Nothobranchius furzeri: one gene and its partner. Each later gene encodes a partner of the first gene's protein in a complex. Links are inferred from orthologs where the notes say so. Each region holds a gene or a part of one and is shown in the gene's direction. Other genes may lie near its edges.

Region 1 (6,697 bases):
TGTGTGTGTGTGTGTGTGTGCGTGCGTGTGTGTGTGTGCGTGTGTGTGTGTGCGTGTGTGTGTGTGTGTGTGCGTGTGTGTGCGTGTGTGTGTGTGTGTGTGTGTGTGTGTGTGTGTGTGTGTGTGTGTGTGTGTGTGTGTGTGTGTGTGTGTGTGTGTGCGTGTGCGTGCGTGCGTGTGCATGTGTGTGTGTGTGCAAGCAGATTTCATCTCCTGTGGTATTGCACACACACAAAGGGTTGGCTAACTGACACAGAAGCTGTGTGTTTGTAAGACAGTTGAGACTCACCAGTGACAGCGTCAGTGACATGGAAATAATTGGACATGTGGAGGTTCATATTCCGCACCAAAACTCATGCAAAAGAGGCAAGTGGTCACTTTTTTGTTTTCTTTTTGCATGTTTGATAAAAAGAAACACAGTGTGTGTGTGTGTGTGTGTGTGTGTGTGTGTGTGTGTGTGTGTGTGTGTGTGTGTGTGTGTGTGTGTGTGTGTGATATAATGGTTAGGGGGGTCTGCGTGTGATGAAGGTTACTGACTTCTCAGCTGTGAAATTAAAGAGTCTTCCACGTCATTAATCATAAAAACTCAGATGAAATATCTTCTTTCTGTCTAAAAATTGATAATGAATTAAAAAGTATGAGTCACACTTTAAAATTCTCTATTTGTATTTTTTTCCTAAACAGTCCTTACGACATCAGTTTTAAACTTGGAGACTCCTTTCAGTACAACAGCATCTGCTCGTTAGAGCAGCGCTGGCCCTTGGAAATTGGTTGCGGGAGGGGAAGTGTAATTGTCAATTGTTTTATACTTGGAGGGGGGCTGGGATGGGAATATAGGATCTATGGGGCCATTTTAATCTGTGAAGCACTTTGAGTTGCATATTTTTATGTATGAAAAGTGCTATATAAATAAAGTTGATTTGATTTGGGGTGAGATCAGAGTGGCGTGTTATAACATCTCTGAGATCTCTAGCGTTTTACCGGGGGACTCGGCACGAGTTCGTAGGACTTATCGAACAGGAAGGAAGTGAGATCGGTTCAAATAAAGAGGAAGTGAAAACTGGGAGGGAAGCGAGGTTTCCTGTTACTGGTGTGGCTACCATCACGCTACTTTTACCCCCTTGTGTGTGTGTGTGTGTGTGTGTGTGTGTGTGTGTGTGTGTGTGTGTGTGTGTGTGTGTGTGTGTGTGTGTGTGTGTGTGTGTGTGTGTGTATGTGTGTGTGTGTGTGTGTGTGTGTGTGTGCAAAATGTAGTAATCCTAATAAAGTTAACTGCTCCATTAAATTGGTCCCTTTAGAACGAGTCACACATCAGCTGGGTAGAGAGGGAGTTTGCCAATATTAGAGAACAGGTAAGCCCTCACCTGTTAAAGATTTAAACCAGTCAGTGTCGCTCCTCCTTTCTTCTAGCTTTCGTTATGCATTTTTGTCTTTTTGTCCTCTGGATTGTTCATCTGCCAATCAGGAAAAAGAAAAGCGTCCAGCTTTCAGACTGCAGTGCAGAGCTGGGGAGCTCGGTTTTTCCACAGCTGATTTACTCGCTGCAGAATTATTGGATCAGGAGCAAAAAAAGTGATGCAGGGGAAAGAAAATAGAGACATCTCAGGTGACAAGGTGAGCAGGAATGGAGCTGTTCACATGATTTTCCACAATTAGGAAATTGTCTGTCACCCAGCCAAAATGTTAGTTGTCCGAATTGTCACGGTAATGTGGACACTTCATCCGTGCTCCATCTCTCTCTCTCTCTCTCTCTCTCTCTCTCTCTCTCTCTGTCTCTGTCTCTCTCTCTCTCTCTCTCTCTCTCTCTCTCTCTCTCTCTCTCTCTCTCTCTCTCTCTCCTGTGTTTATACTGTGGCAAAAGTTAAAGCTGTGCTCCATAGCATGATGTCATCAAGGAGAGGAAGAGACGGTTTTGAAATTGGAACGACTGTAGCGCCCGCCACCTTTCCCTTCTGGAAGGAGCTGAAAAGCACGCCTCATACAACATTTTGAAGGAAAAGTAATGGTTTTGGTGTGTTCCTGCTCAGATATACCTGATTCTAGCTACCAAATGACCTCCTCAGCCTTCATCAGGTTCTATAGGAACTGCTAATCACTCCCTTTAAATGAATCTGCAGAGTTCAAGTAGGTTAAGATCTAAAACCAGTAGGATACCAGCACTCGCGATGCTAGCACACTCCTGCTAACACTACAACCACCAGCTAAAACAATACACCGATGTGGTGTAAGGTTGAACGCCATGCTAATCACTTATCTCCAGTTCGCAAAAGATAAATCCCCTTTTGTCTGTGAGACCACCTACCGTTTCATGTCTCCAGTGGAAAGAGAGTTTGCGGATAAAGCGCTTCTGTTACGCATCTACTGGAAAGGCCAGATTAGGGGAAAAGGTCAGAGAGTCAGTTTGAAACATTTTTGTTTTAGTTTTGTTTAAAAATGTTAAACTACCTACCCAATCTTAGTTTCATGCTCTTGAGGTATTTTCTAAGTGTTTGCTTTGCTTTTTCAGTCTGATTGGCAGCTATTCTTACACTTTTTCCTCTCCTCTTTTGCTTTCTTGCAATTCTATCTGTTTCTGTCTGTGTCGGCCACAGATGTGTTTGCGCTCCACTAGTTGGGCGCAGGACTGCGAGAATACGAGCAGGCTCTTCCTTCCTGTTCATTCTAGCTGTAGCTCACTTCAGCAGAGAGGGCACGCAGGTCAAACCAGAACAACACAAACGGAGGGATGACAGGAGACACGATGGAAGAGAAGAAGATGCATTTTGTTAAAAAACAGGACGGTAGATAAAATGCAGATGCTGTGGACTTTCACCTGCAGAACCAACTTTAACATGGGAGCACAAGAGAGTCTGAGCCGTGCTCGCACTGAAGAGAGCCTGAGATGAATTTGTGCGAGCTGCTGCGGCGGTCGCCTTGTGATGGATGCGGGTAGGAGCGTAAAACAGCATGGACAATGCTGAGATGGAAAAGGACAAAAAAAAGTTCAAGCTGAGCCGCGTGCTGTCCCTTTACCTGTTCAGAAAGAACAAATCCCTGACTGGTAGTCCCGCTCGCTGTAACGGCTGCAGAGCCTCAGCTGCAGCAGACGGTGACATTTCACCCGAACCAAGGAACCAGTGGACGGTAAAGTGATCCCTCCTCAAGTTCACGTCTGTCTTCTTCACGTTTTCCCACTTGAGTTGTTTTCTAATTTTTTAGGTTATGTGAAGAAATATGAGATGCATTGTCACTGCAAAGTGCAAATGAGGGTGTTTTTGTTGATGTTTGTTCAGAAGCGAGGCGCAGCTGATAGGCTGGTTTCCTGTTGTCACACAGATCCAGGCTTCAGTGGTTTGTGGTTGTTTTTAAAATCTAACAAGTAACATTTTTTTAAAGATTACACAAAAACCTGAATCTAAAGTAGCTACAAAAAATAAAACCCCATCATGAGTCCCTCGTCTGGGCATCAGAAGATCCACCTTTGTTTGTTACCAGTAATACATCTATGGTTTATGAGTTGGAAGTAGGTGCTTCCTCTTCTGGTGACCATTAACTAAAATCAATGTAAAAAATTGAGTGCAGTAATCTGTTTTAAAAAAATCCAAGCTGGATCCTTTCATTGGAGTGAAAAAGTGCTTTTTCTTCTTTCACTGCTGCTTTTCAGAGTCATCATTTATATTTTCCTGCTCTGCAAACATCAAACTCAAGCGTTCTGAACTTGTTTTATCTTTTGACGGTATTTTTATGTGCTTTCAGCAGCGCAAACGTTACTCCACCCAGAGATAAACCTGCACAAGTCCTTGATCAAAGAGCAAAATCTGTGGTTTTAACAGCTCTTGACCAAAAATAACTAAACGCTAGACCCATGTTCCTTTTTAAGAGTTCTCCGGTAATTCCATTTAACTCCGTTGTCACCATTAGTTCCAGAAACTCGATAGCATTGCATCTCATTTATAAGAACATAATCTCTTACATTTGCACACCAGTTTCTCTTTTTACTGCGCTTCCTCTTTCTCTGTGCTTTTATTTTGATAAACGGTTCTATTTATGCCCAAAGACGCATCTGTTCAGAAATGTTCTATTTGCAGATCGACCATCTTAGATTACTTTTACAGCTCACGCACCTGCTTTGTGCTTTCACTCTGTAGGAAGATGGAGACATCAAGGAGATCAACATCACCCACGTGGTCAAGGAGGGCTCGGAGAAGGCAGACGCCTCGCAGTTCGAGCTGCTCAAAGTTTTGGGTCAGGGGTCTTTTGGAAAGGTAACACACCTAGGCTCGCTTTGTCCAACTTTTAAATATTTTTCTCTCGTTGTTTAATTCGGTCGCTCTCCAGAAGCATAAGGGTTGTTTTTGTTTTGCAGGTGTTCCTTGTACGGAAGGTGACCCCTCCAGATGCCAACGAGCTTTATGCCATGAAGGTCCTGAAGAAGGCCACTCTTAAAGGTACACACACTTGGAATAACCCTCCATAACTGATAAAGGTGATGAAAATTAATAATAATACTATTATTTTCTTGTGTTTTTTGGAAGGTTTCCTGTGATCTTTTTTATTTTTGTAGTGATTATTAGTCTCAGTTTCATATCTGCCAAAAAATGTCACCTGTAAGCAAAGACCACCCCAGCTTTCTGTGGGTTGTTGTCAGATGATGTGGTCTCATCTTCTCAACAAACAACAGGGCGTGCAAACTGTTCACACGGTCTCCCAGAGGGTTGTGGTTAGCTTAGGTCGTGCAAATCAAAAGTGAATGCCAACTAAGACATCTTCATCGGCTCTAATCAGTCACTTTTTGCAAAACATTTTTTTTCTCTTTCACAATATGGAAGCAAATATGTACCAAAACTCTAATTAAAATGTGCTGGCTGAAATGCTTCTTCGTGTTCACAGTAAAACTGCAAAGAAATAATCAAAATTAAGAAGCGTGTCTTATTCATTTTATTAATGAGTGTGAATGCATTTTATGTTTATTTTTATTTTTTTATTTATGTTTATTTATTTGGCAGACGCTTTTATCCAAAGCGACATACAATTCTTAACTTGTAGGGCATGTTGTGATCTGTGGGGGAAACCGGAGTACCCGGAGGAAACCCACACTTGCATGGGGAGAACACGCAACTCCACGCAGAAAGGCCACAGCCGAGTTTCGAACCTGCAACCTTCTTGCTGCGAGGCAACAGTGCTAACCACTGCACCACCATGCAGCATTTTAACTTAATTTATAGAACATATTTTCTTCCACAGATTAATTAATCCATGTAGTTTTTATTTGATTAACAGGAATAAATTTCCAGTACAAATTGTTTTTTTTTTTCACTTTACATCTGTCTTCAAATCTAGACATCTTTTAATCATTTTATTTCAAATTCCAGGAAAAAAAATATTGCTTGAGTTAATGTCACCAAGACACGATAAACATGTTTCTGCAACTTTAAAAGAAGTTATCTAAACTTTTCATAGCGTATTTCTGAGTTCTGTTGATTTTCTTAATTGGAAATGGGTTCTTTTTAAAAGAATAAAAGAAACAAACCATCTTCTCTTGTATTTTCTTTTCAAATAACACAGATGAAGAATTTATAGAAAAATGCATTGACTTTTTACTCTTGTCCTTCAGTCAGAGACCGCGTGAGGACCAAGATGGAGAGAAACATCCTTGCAGACGTCAACCACCCATTTGTTGTCAAGCTGCACTACGGTGAGCCAGCTCGCTGTATTAAAATCACTTAAACAGAGATAATAATATTACTGTTTGAGTTTTAACGTTAAGATCTGAGCTGTGCATGCTTGATGATTTATATTTGAATATTCATCTGTAGCATTCCAGACTGAAGGGAAGTTATACTTGATCTTGGATTTTCTCAGAGGTGGAGATCTTTTCACACGGCTCTCTAAAGAGGTAAAGGGGAATCCCTAAAAGCACAGTCTGTAATATATTTACTTATTTACTATAAAATTGTCCTTTTTTATTAATATTTCTCATCAATATCTGTTTTATTTATTCCTATTAGCGTAAAATTTTACATTTTTACATACATAAGCTGTAGTTGACCCTCCATTGTCAAGCGCCATCTTGAAATACAGGAGCTCCTTACGGACATAAAAGATATAATGCTCTGCATTTCACGTTTGCGCTTTGGCATGGCCTTTTTGATGTGTGTGGGCTACCGTAGATGCAATACCTACCCTGAACTGCGTTTCGCTAAAGAGTTGAATTGTTTTTACTGACTGGGGCTTTAAATTAAAAAATGAACCATCTATTTTGTCTGATCTGTTTGGTACAACTTTTTATCACTTGTATGATTTACTCCTAGGTGATGTTCACAGAAGAGGATGTGAAGTTTTATCTGGCCGAGCTGGCTTTAGGACTGGACCATCTCCACAGCCTGGGCATCATTTACAGAGACCTCAAACCTGAAAAGTAAAAACACGTTTTCCCACTAAAGCAGAAATTTTCTCCACTACAGATTAAATGAATATACAGTTTGGTCTTTCACAGCATTCTCCTGGATGAGGAGGGTCATATCAAACTCACAGGTGAGTCTACTGTTCTCACACACACACACTCTTAAATCTCCTCTGCCCCGTTGACCTTCATTACTCATCGCTCCATGACAGCTTTATCTTTCTGACTGCACATATCTCCATACAGGCCCAGTGCTTGTTCCCTCACATTAATTATTACTCTTTATCTTATCTCCATTACGAGCCTTTGATCCCA
Region 2 (6,706 bases), about 11 Mb from region 1:
TTCTGTCTAGGCAAAATTGGACTGGGGAGAACTTCCGGTTGAATGTCCTGATCTGAGACTTCGGTCTTCTGTGCATGCTTCAGGTGCAAAGTTCTGCTCCCAAAGGCTCTATATGTTTTGTATAGGAGGGGCATCCAGCGCGCATGTGTCAGTCATGGCGTAGGTCTATGGTGAAGGTTTTTGCGCCCCCAAAGGAACAGGAAATACATCACAAGACCTTTTGGTTGTGGTAAAAGAGTAAGAGAACATTTTAAACCACACTTAAATGCAGATTAAACACAGTATTTAAGTTTCAAGGTGTTTTAAAATGTTTTGTGATTGAGGTAATATGACTTGAACCATTTTTGATTTTCTGCAGATCGACTTTAAGAAAAGTTTTCCTGAAGTTTTGTGTTTTATTTGTGTCTGAATCCATAACAGAGCTGTGATTTAGTGGGATGAAGCCCCCCCCCCCCCTTTTTTTATTTGCTTCTTTTGATCATTTTCACCTTGAAAAAAATCTGTGTGCTTTGCCTCAGATCATGAAAAACACTTGACTCAGAACCAAAATCTCGGTGGCTCCTGGCAGGTTTGGCTGTTTTATCGATGATTTAAGTGGCCGTTAAAGGTCCTCGGAAACCTGCTTCATAGTTAAAAAGGAATTTATGAAACCAAATAGGAAACAAACTTCAGAATGTTTCCCACAGAGCCGATGGTTTTGGTTAAACTGGAACACAGGAGGATTAAAACCAGAAGCAGGTCACAAACCCACAATTTGAGGTTTGTCAAATGTGACAGCAACAAAATCACGAAGCAAACACAATTTTTTTTCTTTATGAAACAAATAAATGACATCATCATCACAAAGAAACACGTTTTCTACCACCGTAAACATTCAGACTCTAGTTAGCACGATAACTTTTACCCATCATTCCCAACCTCTGCGTTTAGACTGACGCTCAGCTACAAGCACAAATTATAACTCGACATCTGTAGAATCCATGAATTTCTGTGGCGGCCATCTTGAATTTGTTTGGCACCAAAGGTTAATTGTCTTCAGACGAACGTTAAAATCCATCCAGACGTTTAGGAGATGTTTAGCTAACAAAGGCAAAACATTATCACCAGTGGATAAAACTACACGAAAGGAAAAAATGGTTTGGAAAAAATATTTACTGAGAAAAAGCAGATTAGTTGTTTTGGTTTTGACCAAAACTCCCAACAAGGAACTATCTATCTAACTGGAGAAAACCGACGATTAACGAGTGCAGATTTTTGATCTTATTTGGTTTTATTAAATCACACATTTAAATACTAGAGCCAGATTTTTTTTTATTAACTCTCCCACTGTCTTTATGGGTGACCCCGCGAGGAAAGTTGACCATTGAGCAGGACTGATGGTTTATCCCTTGAGGTCCACGTGGCAGAGATGAGGTGATGCTCACTCCTCACCCCTGCCACGTGGACCTCAAGGGATAAACCATCAACCCTGCCCAATGGTCAACTTTCCTTGCGGGGTCACAGCCATTAGGACTGTGGGAGGGTTAAAAAAGGCAAAAAAGTGAAAGGTTTAAATTTCAAAAGAGGATGTAAAACATCAAACACAAAAACATTTAAATGTTAAAACTTTATATTTTCAAGCATTTTAGTGAGTTTTCTTTCAACAGGTTAAAACAAGCTTCTATATATTATTATTACCCAGAATCCTCTCCCACGAAGGGTCTGCAGTAAACGTGAGAGTTGTGTCTGGTGAGCATCACTCCTCCAGCTCCTCTGCCTTCTCCCATTGTTGCCAGGGTAACCTGGATTTGCCTAAAAATTTATCTAAAAGCCTGAAACTGCGGGAGGAAAAGATGCAGACGGGAAAGGCGACAGAAAAAAGGGCACTGTGGGTAGAAAGTAAATGGAGCCGCTCGGAAACAAGATGAATGGGAGAGATCTGCAGCCAGAACGCCGCCTTCTGCTTTGTTTGTTAATTCAACCCATTTATTAAACTCCCAAACATTTATTTTCTTGACTTGCGGCTGCTGAGTTTTATCAGCTGCTTTATTGATGATATAAACTGGAAATAATCTCTAAAGTGGTTTTTCAATTCAGCCATAATCTCAGGGGTTATAGTAAACTATACATCAGTGTGGAACACTCAGAAAACCATCCGATAATGCACCGCACCTGCCAGCTACACACCTGTACATTGGGATCAGAACTGAAGCTGTCTAATCTGGGTTCACAGATATTTTCATGACCTTTCTTTTTAACTGAAATTTATAAAATGACAGAATTTCATTTTCTGATTGTTGAATTTCAATCCAAAATGGAGAGAAAAAAAAGAATAACTTCAAACTTGATTTAACTGGTATTTGTTGATTTAGTGAAGATTTTCTGAGCTTCGTAGACCCCTGTGGTCCAGGTGTAGCCGACAAACATGTCGCCCATCGTTCGTCCATCAGAAGGCGACTTTAAAAATCCTAATTTCATCTTTATTTCATGCAGGAGAAGCTTATCGAGTTAAATAACTGGACATTTTTATTAAACTTTATTTATTGTAAAAATTATGCAGGAATGAGGTGTAAATATGAGGCACCCCACCCCCACCCCCCGTGTTTATGGACCTATCATCGCCTCTGCTGAACTGATGTGGATATGGTCCAGGACCAGGTGAGAGGGTTAATGCTCTCTGACGCGTGAGGATTCAGGTTGGGTCGCAGCAGCTGCGGACAATCAGCGCTGATTCACCGCCGGTTCGGTCCCGCTGCCGCTCGACCCTCTCCGGTCTCTCCGGGCGCGAGCCGCTCAGAACTCTCACGGAACCGTCAGACATGCCGTACCGGACCCGTAACCTGGACACCGGGGATAAACGCTCGCCGGATAAATGACTTGAGAAACTCCCGGTGAAGTGAGCGGCGGCTGGAAATGAATGTGACCGGGAAGCAGCACCAGCCTGAGTCCATTGAGCGACCCGCCAGCCTCCCGGTACCAACCTCGGTGAGTGAACCCGCTCTGCGGGGTTTAATCCTCCGGTAAATTCACAAACTTCAGCCCGGCGGCAACCCTTTGATCTGCGCTGGCACGCGAAGAGCACGCGCGGTACCCTTTGATGTGCATGAGACGTCCAGCTTCTCCTTTAAAAACTCCACCTTTTGGGTGTTTACAGATAAAAACTCACCGGAGCTCAAACTGAGCCTCGGACCCGAACCCGACCCGGAACCAGGGCGAACGTGAGAACACCTCGGCATGAATGCTGCGCTTTAATTTAAACAAAAACACAACTTAACCGAAGGGCCAGAAACACCAGCTTCTTGTTGCTTTTGAAACTAATTCCCTTCATCTTGTTTCTTTCATGGTGACCTGAAGGGTCACAGCTGTGACGTTTAGCCTTATTTTGGGACATATCTCCTAGTTTTTAGGTTGGTGGTGATCTCGGTGCCAGAGTGTTGTTGGAGATTTTCATCATTTATTAGCATCACTGAGCTTATCTTTGTGTTCTGATGAGTTTAAGGAAAACAAACGATCCGACCTTTAGAAATTCCTCCTTGTTCATCATGTTACAGAAAACTCACACGAGCTGTAAAATACCATCAGTTATCTGATCAGAAACGGATCAATCTTCCTTTTTTGTCATACATGAAGTTCACGTTTCCATGGATACGTCTTAGTTTCATTTTGTGTTTTATTCCAAACTAAAGCCTCTGATCCTTCTTGTTACGATCTCCATCTGTGACTTCAACATGGTTTAGTAAAAGGCTGCATCTGCTCAGGTACACCTGACTGGTACCTGGGCGGATCCAACCAGGTGTTGTAAACGTTCCTCAGAGGTCCTGGTCCATCCTCACATGACAGCATCGGCTCATGAGAAGCCCCCGTTCCACCACATCCCAAAGCTTCTGGGACATGGTGACTGACCTGACAGCTGAAATCTAGACTCATCAGACCAGAAAAAGCTTTCCAGTCTCTTCTGGTCCCGTTCAGCTGATCCTGTGGGGATTGTAGCCTCGGTCTCCTGTTCTTAGCTGACAAGACAGATGCCTGGTAACTGGTTTGGTCTTCTGCTACTGGAGTTCATCAGGAGCAGCTTGTGCTTCTGCAGACCTTGGTAGGAACCAGTGCTAAGCTGCTGCTCTAGAAGTGTTTGATGGTTCCATTCCCAGGAGATAAGACCTGCTGGTTCAAAGTATCTTAAATCTCAGTTCAGATGAACGTTCTGAGCTTCAGCGAGTCTTCTGGTTGAGTAAATGCAGGCATCTGATTGGCTGATAAGATATTTGCATTCATAAGCTCTCAGATGGACTTAATAGAGTTTTAATGACCAAAGTTTCCGAAGCAGCTGATTTCAGATCAGTTTCTATAACAAACTCTTTGAATCTGATCACCAATCACAGATGAAACGTGATGACAGGACTGAAAAGGCACTCGTCTTCTGTTGTTGTTCTCCCTATGGCCGCCAGTCAGCTGTTATTAGAAGCATCCTAATGATCAAATGTCTGATTAGTCAGATGTGAAGCGGGTCGGGGCAGAAAGGACTTCCAAACGAGCTCAGGGGGTGTTTGAGTTGATGCAGCCGACTGGTTCGTCCTGTCCAAACACTAATGGCTCTGTGTTAGAGTTGTGTGTCGGGTGCTTTAGGTCTGTGATGGACAGCCTGGTTTTCTCCTCACCGCACGCTGGGAGAGTCTCCACGCCTGATTTAGCTCTAGCAGCACGTTTGTCTGGTGAAGGCTCGGAATAATATCCCCTGTAACGCGTGTTAGTCTCACCCCACCATCACCGTCGTAAACGCAGATTTGTACGTTTAAAATCTGACCGAGTCACCGAGCAAAGGCACAGCTACACTGCATCTGGACCACAAAGTGTCCTCACCACTCTCGTCGGGTATCTCGCTGCTTAAAGTCAGTCTGGTTTTCTTCTTGGACGTTTTCTGTTGTGGTCTCGTGGATTACATCGTCTCTGAGCGGAGTTTAAGTCAAAACTGACAAATTTTAAGTAAACACGCAGCTCTAATGTCAACGAGCGAAGCGTGTTCTTCTTTATGACATTTCTAAGTTCCTGTGGTTTGTGTGTGGCGCCCCCTTCAGGAACCACGTGGTACTGACACTTGGAGCAGAGGGCTTCATGTCTATATTTAACCATTTAATGGCACCAGCTGTGTATTTTGCACATCTTCTGCTTTTAAAGGACTTCATTTATTTCTTTATTCCAGTAAATTATCAGTGAAACAAGATTTACTTTTAACTCATTCACCGCCAGCCGTTTCCTGATCGGTAGAGCCCTTCGCTGCCAGCATTTCTCACAGTTTTTACTGTTTCTTTTAAGAGTCACAGAACGTTGCGCGCTAGGATAATGTCGTTGCCAAAACAACAAAACAAAGAGGAGACTCGCCTCTTACATCAGGAAGAATCCGCGCGTTTCGAGCGTTATCCGTTCTTTCATAATCCGTTGTTGAATTGTGATCGGCAGAAGCTTTTCCGGTTCGCGCTTCACTTTCTGTACAGCAGCGGCCCAAACCGATCTCCTAACACATGGATTTTCTGCTTCCTGATCACGTGACGTGTGCAGATGAAGATCAGCTTTAGAGATGAGATGTTTGTTCTCACGGTGCGGGGGCTCGTCCGACACCCACACAGTAAAAAAAAGCTTATGACGATGGTTAATAGTTAAAGAGATCTGGTCTCTCAAACGGCCAAGTGTGCAGCAAACACATAACGACCGTTTCCAGTGACTTCTGAAGACGAAAACCTTTCTCTGTAATTACCACTTTTGTCTGAGGGCACATTTAAAAGCATCAGCTATTACCCATAATGCATTTGTGACCCGACAGGGGCGTTGATTTTATGAGCTCCTAGTTCACTGAATGCTGATGGTTGCTGATGCTTTACTATGTTAGATCTGTACCAGTTAGAAGTTCATAAGTTTTGTAATTAACGGCGTTATCCTGGAGGTGTTGTTCCTAACCCCCAAATTCCACTACCTCCGCTCCGCTCCGACACGAACGCCGGAGCAAAATCGGTCCCGTTGTAGTCAATCAGAGCAATTCCACTACTGCGGCCATGCTCTGGCAGTGCGGCGCCGTGCGCCGCCCTCTGTTCCGGCATCCGGCAAAAATACAATCGATCCTATTTTCGCCGGACGCCGGAACACCTCCGCAGTAAATGGACAGAAATCACAACCGCCCAACAGGAAAAGGAGCAAGCACAACTTCCGTTTTTCACAATAATTCGATAAACAAAAGGCGTTTTTTGTTTCATATGCACAGGTTTAACAACCTTTAACAACTATCAATGGCGGCTGAAGTTTAAATGCACAAAAGTAAGCCATAAATACAGTTGCCACTATCAAAGTAGTCACACTTTGATGATCCAAACACTGCTGATCTCTAACACAAATGATGGGCAGATTAAACAGTTCATTTCGATGCTTCTCCCACACGACGGGTGTTTGGATCTAACTTCCGCGTTTATTGCTCGGACTGTATCGCAAGATCTCGAAAATCCCGCGCATGCCTGTTTGCCCCCCTCAGGTCTCCGGAGCGGAGCGGAGCCGTTGTAGAGCGGGTACCAGTAAAAATTGAGTTCGGAAGTGAGCGGCTGCGGAAGGCGGGGGCGGACCAGAGCGGAGCGGAGGTAGTGGAATTTGGGGGTACACGAGGAGGGAACGAATAACACCAATGAGTGTTTGGACTGAAATAATTGAAGCAGCACAAAAAGCCTGACTACTTTTATAGTAGAAACTG

The links. The genes of interacting proteins can lie anywhere in the genome.
Region 2: the proteins of rps6ka1 (region 1) and sntg2 are in contact, whole or in part, in a crystal structure (PDB 7QQL), measured with the Homo sapiens proteins. The link is inferred for Nothobranchius furzeri from reciprocal best matches to the Homo sapiens genes RPS6KA1 and SNTG2. Residues at the interface, in NP_002944.2 of Homo sapiens: Pro731, Ser732, Thr733, Thr734, Leu735; in NP_061841.2 of Homo sapiens: Gly82, Gly83, Leu84, Gly85, Leu86, Ser87, Ile88, Lys89, Gly90, His94, Ser101, Lys102, Phe104, His134, Val138, Leu141, Arg142.

What each region holds. Positions count from the first base shown.
Region 1 is NC_091758.1:28,126,757-28,133,453, reverse strand, and holds the start of rps6ka1 (ribosomal protein S6 kinase alpha-1), read left to right. Parts: upstream 1-2,785; 5' UTR 2,786-2,946; coding exon 2,947-3,123; intron 3,124-4,127; coding exon 4,128-4,244; intron 4,245-4,345; coding exon 4,346-4,427; intron 4,428-5,593; coding exon 5,594-5,674; intron 5,675-5,795; coding exon 5,796-5,875; intron 5,876-6,290; coding exon 6,291-6,397; intron 6,398-6,475; coding exon 6,476-6,513; intron 6,514-6,697. UniProt on the Homo sapiens protein: Serine/threonine-protein kinase that acts downstream of ERK (MAPK1/ERK2 and MAPK3/ERK1) signaling and mediates mitogenic and stress-induced activation of the transcription factors CREB1, ETV1/ER81 and NR4A1/NUR77, regulates translation through RPS6 and EIF4B phosphorylation, and mediates cellular proliferation, survival, and differentiation by modulating mTOR signaling and repressing pro-apoptotic function of BAD and DAPK1.
Region 2 is NC_091758.1:38,843,304-38,850,009, reverse strand, and holds the start of sntg2 (gamma-2-syntrophin), read left to right. Parts: upstream 1-2,828; 5' UTR 2,829-2,892; coding exon 2,893-2,964; intron 2,965-6,706. UniProt on the Homo sapiens protein: Adapter protein that binds to and probably organizes the subcellular localization of a variety of proteins. May link various receptors to the actin cytoskeleton and the dystrophin glycoprotein complex.